Coturnix japonica: one gene and its partner. The protein of the gene in region 1 interacts with the protein of each later gene in a pairwise test. Links are inferred from orthologs where the notes say so. Each region holds a gene or a part of one and is shown in the gene's direction. Other genes may lie near its edges. The genes, in order: ESR2 and NCOA6.

What was found.
Region 2: the proteins of ESR2 (region 1) and NCOA6 interact in a two-hybrid assay, tested with the Homo sapiens proteins (3 studies listed by BioGRID). The link is inferred for Coturnix japonica from reciprocal best matches to the Homo sapiens genes ESR2 and NCOA6.

Annotation. Positions count from the first base shown.
Region 1 is NC_029520.1:48,211,259-48,215,076, forward strand, and holds part of ESR2 (estrogen receptor beta), read left to right. Parts: intron 1-1,208; exon of another isoform or gene 1,209-1,366; intron 1,367-2,548; 5' UTR 2,549-2,584; coding exon 2,585-3,018; intron 3,019-3,703; coding exon 3,704-3,787; intron 3,788-3,818.
Region 2 is NC_029535.1:424,585-428,402, forward strand, and holds part of NCOA6 (nuclear receptor coactivator 6), read left to right. Parts: intron 1-1,320; exon of another isoform or gene 1,321-1,426; intron 1,427-2,815; 5' UTR 2,816-2,972; intron 2,973-3,059; 5' UTR 3,060-3,099; coding exon 3,100-3,334; intron 3,335-3,818. UniProt on the Homo sapiens protein: Nuclear receptor coactivator that directly binds nuclear receptors and stimulates the transcriptional activities in a hormone-dependent fashion. Coactivates expression in an agonist- and AF2-dependent manner.

The DNA of each region.
Region 1 (3,818 bases):
GGGCCTGGTACAGATCTGGTGCACTGCTGAAAGATTAGATCTAAATTACCTTAAAAGACCTTTATGCAGAGAAGGAAGAAAAGTTGGGACAGGAGTTTGGTTCATGGAGTAGTTAATTCTAGTAGTGTTTATGATAGCAGGGCATCATACTGAAATGGGACAAACTTATGATTCTGTAGCAACTTCTTATTGCGATCCTCAGCTTAAATGTGGCAGTGATTCCTTCTGAGGTACTGATGTTAGCGGAGTTTGTCTTCTGTAGACTTGAATCTTAAGCTCTGGTTACCTGAACCTGCAGTTCTTCCTCAAGAAGTACAGCTCCACAGACCATCAGTTATTCTAGGGACTTTTCTGTGCAGTTCTGAATGTTTTCTGCAGCTTTGTTTTATTTCTGAGGCTTTGGGCTTTCTGTTCTGAATCTCCTGAGTATAAGGATATACGAAGAATGTGATTCCATGTACATCCATAACCTACCATGGCTAAGCATTTTCTGCCACTCAAGTTAATTATCTTAAGCCATTACTGTTGTTTAGTTGTTATACTGAAGTCTGATGAAGTGTAAGGGTTTGGGGTTACACTGCGCTGTGCACCCTTTGAAGGGGAGCAGTGCAGTCAGCTCTTGCTGGGCAGGGCTGACAACATTCAGGTGCTCATATGGAGTGTCTGTGCACACCTCTGAGATCCCAAGTGGTGCTTTGCTTTACCTACATGCATTTTGAATTCTACAGGCAAATTCATAGTGTTCACTATGAAAGCAACCACTGCTGAAAACAACCTTATTTTTCAGTTCCATCATTTGCTGCCTGAAAATTATTTGGGCTGTCCATGAAATGCAAGCAAGAGAACATGTGGGATTTTCAGTGCTTTTTGCGCTCTTAGGGGAAAATGTGAAGCATCTGGCAAGGGCACATAAGGCATGTAGACTGTATGAAAAATGAGGTCACATTCTCCTGCTTTGGCTGCATCAGAGTTCCAGTGCAACAACGGCTGGATGTAAACCACTGCTGAGATAATTCATTTTCCTGTTTCCCACAAAGGAATAAACAGCAGCTGGGTCTGAAGTGCCTAAGATGATTTGAATGAGTTCCTCGTTACTTACCCATATATCTTCACTTTCATCAGCAGAGTGCAAAGTGAGAAGAGCCCTAAACTATTTTATTCAGACAGATTTTCTCATGGTTTTTTTTTGATGGTGATTCTACCATCAGTCCTGTCTCTAGGTGGGAAAAATGTCAGTACACCAAGATGGCATACTAGAAATACCATCTAGCTGAGAATTTCTGGGACATGGAGGTAGCTGGTTCTTCAGGAAACGTACGTTTGGATCTTTACCATTTTATTTTATTGTTGTGTGAGGTGAAAAAAGGTAAGAATATTTAGCATCCATACTTTGGTTGCTTTTGGTATAGCAAAACTGTGGGTGACTTCTTTACTCCAGGGTTTTTCATGTCGATCTCTTATTGCCACCTGTAAAAGTAAAGTATGCTGGAGTATCGCTTCTGGGAAATGGAACTTGAATGAATTACAAGCAAAGCCCACAATGAAGAATGAAATTTAAATACTCTTAAATGCTGCTGTAAAACTGATGGTTCCAGGATGGGGTTTACATCTTAGAAGGTGTTTTGGTGATTTCTTTCTTCTTTTCCTTTTTTATTCTTTTTTTTCCCCTTTCATTTACCTTAAGTAATTTGGTATGCCTAGATCTGGCAGATGGTGTTTCTGTGGGTATATTAAGGTCCTGTGATTGCTGGTTCAGATGGAATGAAGGATGGAGAGTAGCAGTGAAGGCAGCTCAGTATGCCAGGAAAATATAGAACTTCCTGACCTTACGGATTTGCTTGAATTCCTCTTTGCCAGCTCAGAAATACCTGCACTTTGTGACATCTGCATTTCATAACATCTACTTTTATAATGGCTCTGTTCAGAGGTGCTGTATCCGAGTACTTTTCAGTGATAGAGTTCCTTACTGATGTCCATCTCATCTTTCTCCTCACTGGAGAGGGATGTGCAGCGGGGTTATGATTTTGAAAGGTAAAGTCTCTGTCTGTCTGTGTTCTAAACATCAGTTACACACTCATGTTGATGAAGGAAGGCTGATACTTCAATAGTGCACTTGCAGTGGGAGAAGGAGGTGGTGAAGATAATTGATTTCTCAGGACACTCATTCCTCAATTACTCGCCACTGACACAGAGCAGCTTTACCCTAGTTGCAGTGAATTGCTTTGCTTAGGATCCTGGCTGTCACGTGCATTTTTGTTTTCGGCTTCAATTTATACATTTTTTGTGTTTTAAATGAAGTTTGGATTCAACAAGTGTTGTCCCCTTTATTTTTAAGGAAGTTCTAGAGAATTTTCTGCTTCATAAAGGTAGCAAACTTGAATGTTGTCTATTTAAGTACGTTTGCTATGTAATCTGTTTTCACAGAATGTTTTCAGTGCTTTCTGTTTTGTGAATTCCTCCATTTCTTTTACAGAAAAGACTTAAGATAGAGCTTCCTTAGTTTCTAATTCATGGTTGTTTTTTTTTTCCCCCTACCTTAACATCTTAGAATGAATATTTAAACAACCTTCGGTCTTGAATCAAAATGTCCCTCTGTGCGTCTTCTCACAAGGACTTTTCTCAGTTGCTGCCTCTTCAGGATATTGGATGCAATAAAACAGAAATTAAAAACTCACCTGCTGGTATTGGCTCTCCAGTTCCCTACAGCTGTAATCAATCTGCATTGACAACAGAACACAGTCCAGTCTACATCCCTTCATCTTACGTGGAAAACAGGCATGAATATTCTGCAATGGCATTCTGTAGTCCTGCTATGATGAATTACAACATAGCCAGCAATTTTGGTGATTCAGAGAGTGCATCTGTGAGACAAACATCGAGCCCAAGCCTGTTATGGTCTGCTCCTGGCCACCTCTCCCCTCTGACACTGCACTGTCAGTCATCGCTTCTGTATGCAGAGCAGCCTAAGAGCCCGTGGTGTGAAGCGAGACCGCTGGAACCAGTGCTGCCCGTCACCAGGTGAGTACCACTCACTTCATTAGAACTTTCCTATCAGTCAATCACAGCTTCTTTAGTTCCTTTATGTCTTTTTGTTATTACTTCTTAAAACATTTTATTTTCAGTTTGTATTCATTAAGGCAATGTGAGCAGCAGATTCACAGGCTGAATTTCTCAGAACTGAATTTGCAAAAGCATTGTCCCATGCTGCACAGTGTTACGTGCCATGAGAAATGAGTGCATCATCAGCTGACAAAACAGTTCCATTCCTGTTCACAACAGCTTTCTGTGGATGAAGGCAAAGGGTGTTGCAGGGGCTAATCCTGTTTTACCCACTGTGTGTTTCTTCATATGGATGCCCTGTCCTTGGAGGTGTTCAAGACCAGGTTGGACGGGGCCCTGGGCAACCTGATCTAGTAAAGGTGTATGTTTGGTGGCCCTGCCAGGCAGGGGGGTTGGAACTACATGATCCTTGAGGTCCCTTCCAACCCGGGTCATTCTGTGATTCTGTGATATGGTTCCTTATTCAACTTCAGCCATTGATGATATGGAAAACAGCACATCTGGTAACAGCTGCGGTTCAAATATTCATTAATTTTTATTTTTGATATTACCCACATTCCTTCTGCAATGGATGGGCTTTATATATTGTTTGCCCAGCACTAAGGTATAAAATGTAAGCCTGATTCAGACTTGTGGATTGCAGGAATCTTCAGGATGGCCACTTGAGTAATCTGCCTTTGGGGTCAGAAGAGGCAGTTCTGAAGCACATATCTGCCTCAGGTACTAGGTATGTGGACTGGAACGGGCTATTTTAAATA
Region 2 (3,818 bases), on another chromosome or scaffold:
AGTTCCGGATTCCCTGAAGGACTCGATTGTAGTCTCATTTCAGGACTGATTTTTTTTATTTTTTTTTTTCCTTCTTGTTCCTGGTTTCAGCAGCTTTAAATAATTGCTGCTGTGTGGATGAGGGCTGTGCTCTGTGCCAGCTTCTGGCATCTGCTCGTGAAGGACACCAGCCCATCCGTCCTTCTGGTTCTTCCATGCTTGTGAAGGAACTGCTCTTGCCCTTTCCACTTACTGGACAAAGCCTTGCTGTGCTTTACCTGACTTGCACAGTGAAAGTGGGATAGGAAGAAAGAGACATAAAGGCTTCAAGCTCTGCTTAACAGGAGGGTATAACCATAAGTTTGAATCATTTGAGCTTGTCTCAGTACATGACTATCGAGGCACAGCTCATTTTGTCCTGCTTCCACCTGGCAGGGCTGGTGCCAACATTTCCCAGCACTCAGCTGCCCCTGCTAGCAGCTGCAGGCTGGCTCTGATCTGCTCTGATCCCCTCTTCTGGGATCCCACTAGGATTGCTAAGCACTGTCCCATCATGTGGCACTGGATCTGTGCTGTGGGCTCCTGCTGTAGGCCCAGGCTGCCTGCTGTGGCAGCCACAGCTCAGGCTGTTCTGCAGTTCTGCACATTGATTCCAGTGTGACTCTTGCTCATGAGGGCTGCAGTACTGGCCTGCTGGCAGCTACATGAAGTTACCAGCATCGCTGCAGGACCGGGGCTTTACTGTGTGTGCTTAGACCCGAAGGGTTTTGGTTTTATTCTTTTTTTGGGGGGGGAGGAGAAGGAGAATAGGGGCTGGAAAGGCTAAGGGAGGAGTGTTGAATGAAGATCCTTGTTAATTGTGCTTGTGGGCTGGCTTCTGATTTATGGCAGTCAACCTTATAACCAGGGGATTACAGAATTTGTTAGCAAGAGGGATGCAGCTGGGATTCATTTGGTTTGGGGATGGAAGACAGGCCGCGTTCTGCCCAAAGAGGAACATTTCACAAATCATCACTTCCTCCTGTCGTGGTTGGTATAAATCCTACATGAGCACAGGAGCAGGCCATACTGCATGTTTGAGAGGAGACTCTAAAGCTGCCACAGGTACTTTGGGCACTAACATTCAAAATAAAAACACAATGTTATTTATTTACAGAGGAAAGGTCGTTTCCTTCGTCTTTGGGGCTGTAGGAAATATTCATGCTTCTCAGCGAATGTAGAACATCCCCCTCTGAGTATTTGTACGTATTTTGAACATTTAAAACCTTGTGTATTGATCCAATATTTCTGTTCCTGATAATGTTATACCTGTTTTATAGGTATTTGTTTTGTTATTTTCAGAAGATGAAGCTTGGTTTTCACAGGGCGCTCATTCAGTCCCCGGTGTGGTTGTCCCTAAGGCTATTGCTGATGTTGGGCTCCAAGCTCCTTCCTTCCAGAAGTCAGAGTATGTGTAATGAATTATGTATGTAGCATGACCTGTGGTTAGGGGAAGCAGCCCAGCCCTGCCAAGGACACTCACCATTCTTTTGCATGTGAAAATCAATTAAACCAACTTTTCTGCAGATGGTTATCAGTTGTATCCTTGTTACCTGGACACGTGATGTGGAGCTGGAGTTTGACTCAGTGCAGCTGCTGAGTGCTCAGAGCTGTGATTTCACTGCAGAGCTGAGGATGAAAGAGTCTAGAGAACAAAAAGAGAATGTAATCGTATGACAGCACTGTGGAAATACATGGGAAGTATTTTTACTTTCAGTGCAGACTGCAAAAGAACATGGATTACAAAACCACCTGTGTTTGCAATCCCAAACGTGAGCAGTGTTCCGGAGCAGAGGCCTGATACCACAGCAGGGTGGAGTGTGCTGGGCTAGGTGGCTGTTCCTGTGTACGCCTTTCTAACGTGGTTATTTTCTGTATGAAGAAAGGCTTTTTTTTTTTTTTTTTTTTCCCAGCTGCTATCCGCAGTTCACCTTTAATCTCCAACTTGTGGTTTTAATTTGTGTTGGGAACTTGAACCTCTGCCAAGAAGCTGGTCTGCATCCCATTGGAGCATCCTGAACTGAGTGCTTCTGTTGGGCCATGCTGAATGCCAACAGCTTGGGACTTACGAGGTCTTGGCAGCATCACCTGTTGGTTTGATTTGTTAATCACGGTGGTGGGCAGGAACCGGTCCCTTTCTGTATTGACTCTTGATGTGGATGCTTGGAATTGCATAAGAAATATTTGCTGAGTGTTGGGTGTGAGACCACTGTGTGGGTCTGGCTGACTTGTGGGGTCCTGCTGCCCTGTCATGGCTGCAGGCAAAGTGGAGGAGTGTGAATCTCAATAAATGCTGCTCTTCTGTCTTGGATTGCACCTCTGCATGGGTAACATCCTAATGTAATTGCAGCTTATTGTGTTTTCTTGGAGCGAGAAGTATCAGACATGACTTGATTTATTTAATTCCACTAGAAGATGGGGAAATTGTTGGCTAGCATTGAGGCAGTGTGTTTCAAGTTGTAATGTGCGTAAGCAGCTGAGAGCACCTAAACTTTCACAAAACAAGCATTGTGTGCTTAGGAGCTCTCTGGATGAGTAAAATTCTCATTAAGTGCTGGATATCTTCTGGTGCTGTGGCTTTCCTACTGCTTTGTTGTATGAAGCATCTGCAATCCCTACAATTATGTTTGGTGGTTCCCCCCCCAGCCTCCCTGCAATTAAAGTGCTGCTGAGTGCCTCTCAGTTTCCTGGCAGCCAAGCGTTGCAGGGTTGTTGTAGATTCCTGTTTGTCCTCTGTATGATGTGGAGATGAGAGTAATTGATTTTATTTACCCTTCCCTTTTTCTCTATCATTTAGGTCAGCTGGAATACTGCTCCACTCACATGTGGAAGGATTCTGTCAAGAAACCACCAACTTCTGTTTGTTCTGGTGGACAAACAGCTCGGCTGCTGCGATGGCCGCACTGCTCGGAGTCGCGCTGTTTGTCTCGCAGGCCCTAGCACAGGGTCACCCGGTAGGTTTCTTCTCAGTGTTCTTTGCACGTTGTTGAGTGCAGTTGGTTGTGTCTTTACACATTGTAATTTATTTTTTTCCTCCAAAGTATCTTCTGAACGTCTGACTGGCTCTCTTTGTTGGACACAATGGTTTTGGACGACCTACCAAACGTGGGAGATACATGTGCATCCTTGTACTCCTCGGCTATGGAAGACTTAGAGGTGGATTTGGATTCAGGACTGGAGGAAGACGAACTGAAACAGGAGGTTGCTCCTGAAGATTCCACAATCTTTGTAGCTTTTAAAGGAGATATAGGGGATAGAGACTTTGAACAGAAACTGAGTGTTATATTGGAGAATGTACCTGGCCTTCTACACATGGGTAATTTACTTCCTTGTTTTTCAGCTGTCCTTAAAATAATTAATGACATAATCAGAATGCTTGTAAAAAGAAATATATTGCCATTTTCTAGTTAACTGGATGGTTGACTGGCTTGTTCTTAGTGCATCTGGGTCCTGTTCTTCTCGGGGGCACTAAGTACAAGTTTCTGCAGTTACTTCTTTGTTTAAAACTGATCTAATTAGTGCATTCACATTCATTCCAGTTTTGTTCCAGTGTTTTACTTGTTTTTTTTTTTTCTTCTCTTCCATTTCTCTCAATTACATATTGTTCTTCTGTATGAAAGTGAAACCAAACTTGTCCAAACAGGATGTTCTTTTTAATATCAAAACCATCCGATTTAAACCACTGCAGTTGAGAGTAGATTCACTCCAAAATAACTGGGCCTGTTCAAGTCATTATTGCCACTTAGCTGCTGCACTGACCTCATCTACCAGATTTTTTCTGAAGAGGGGAGAATGGAGCA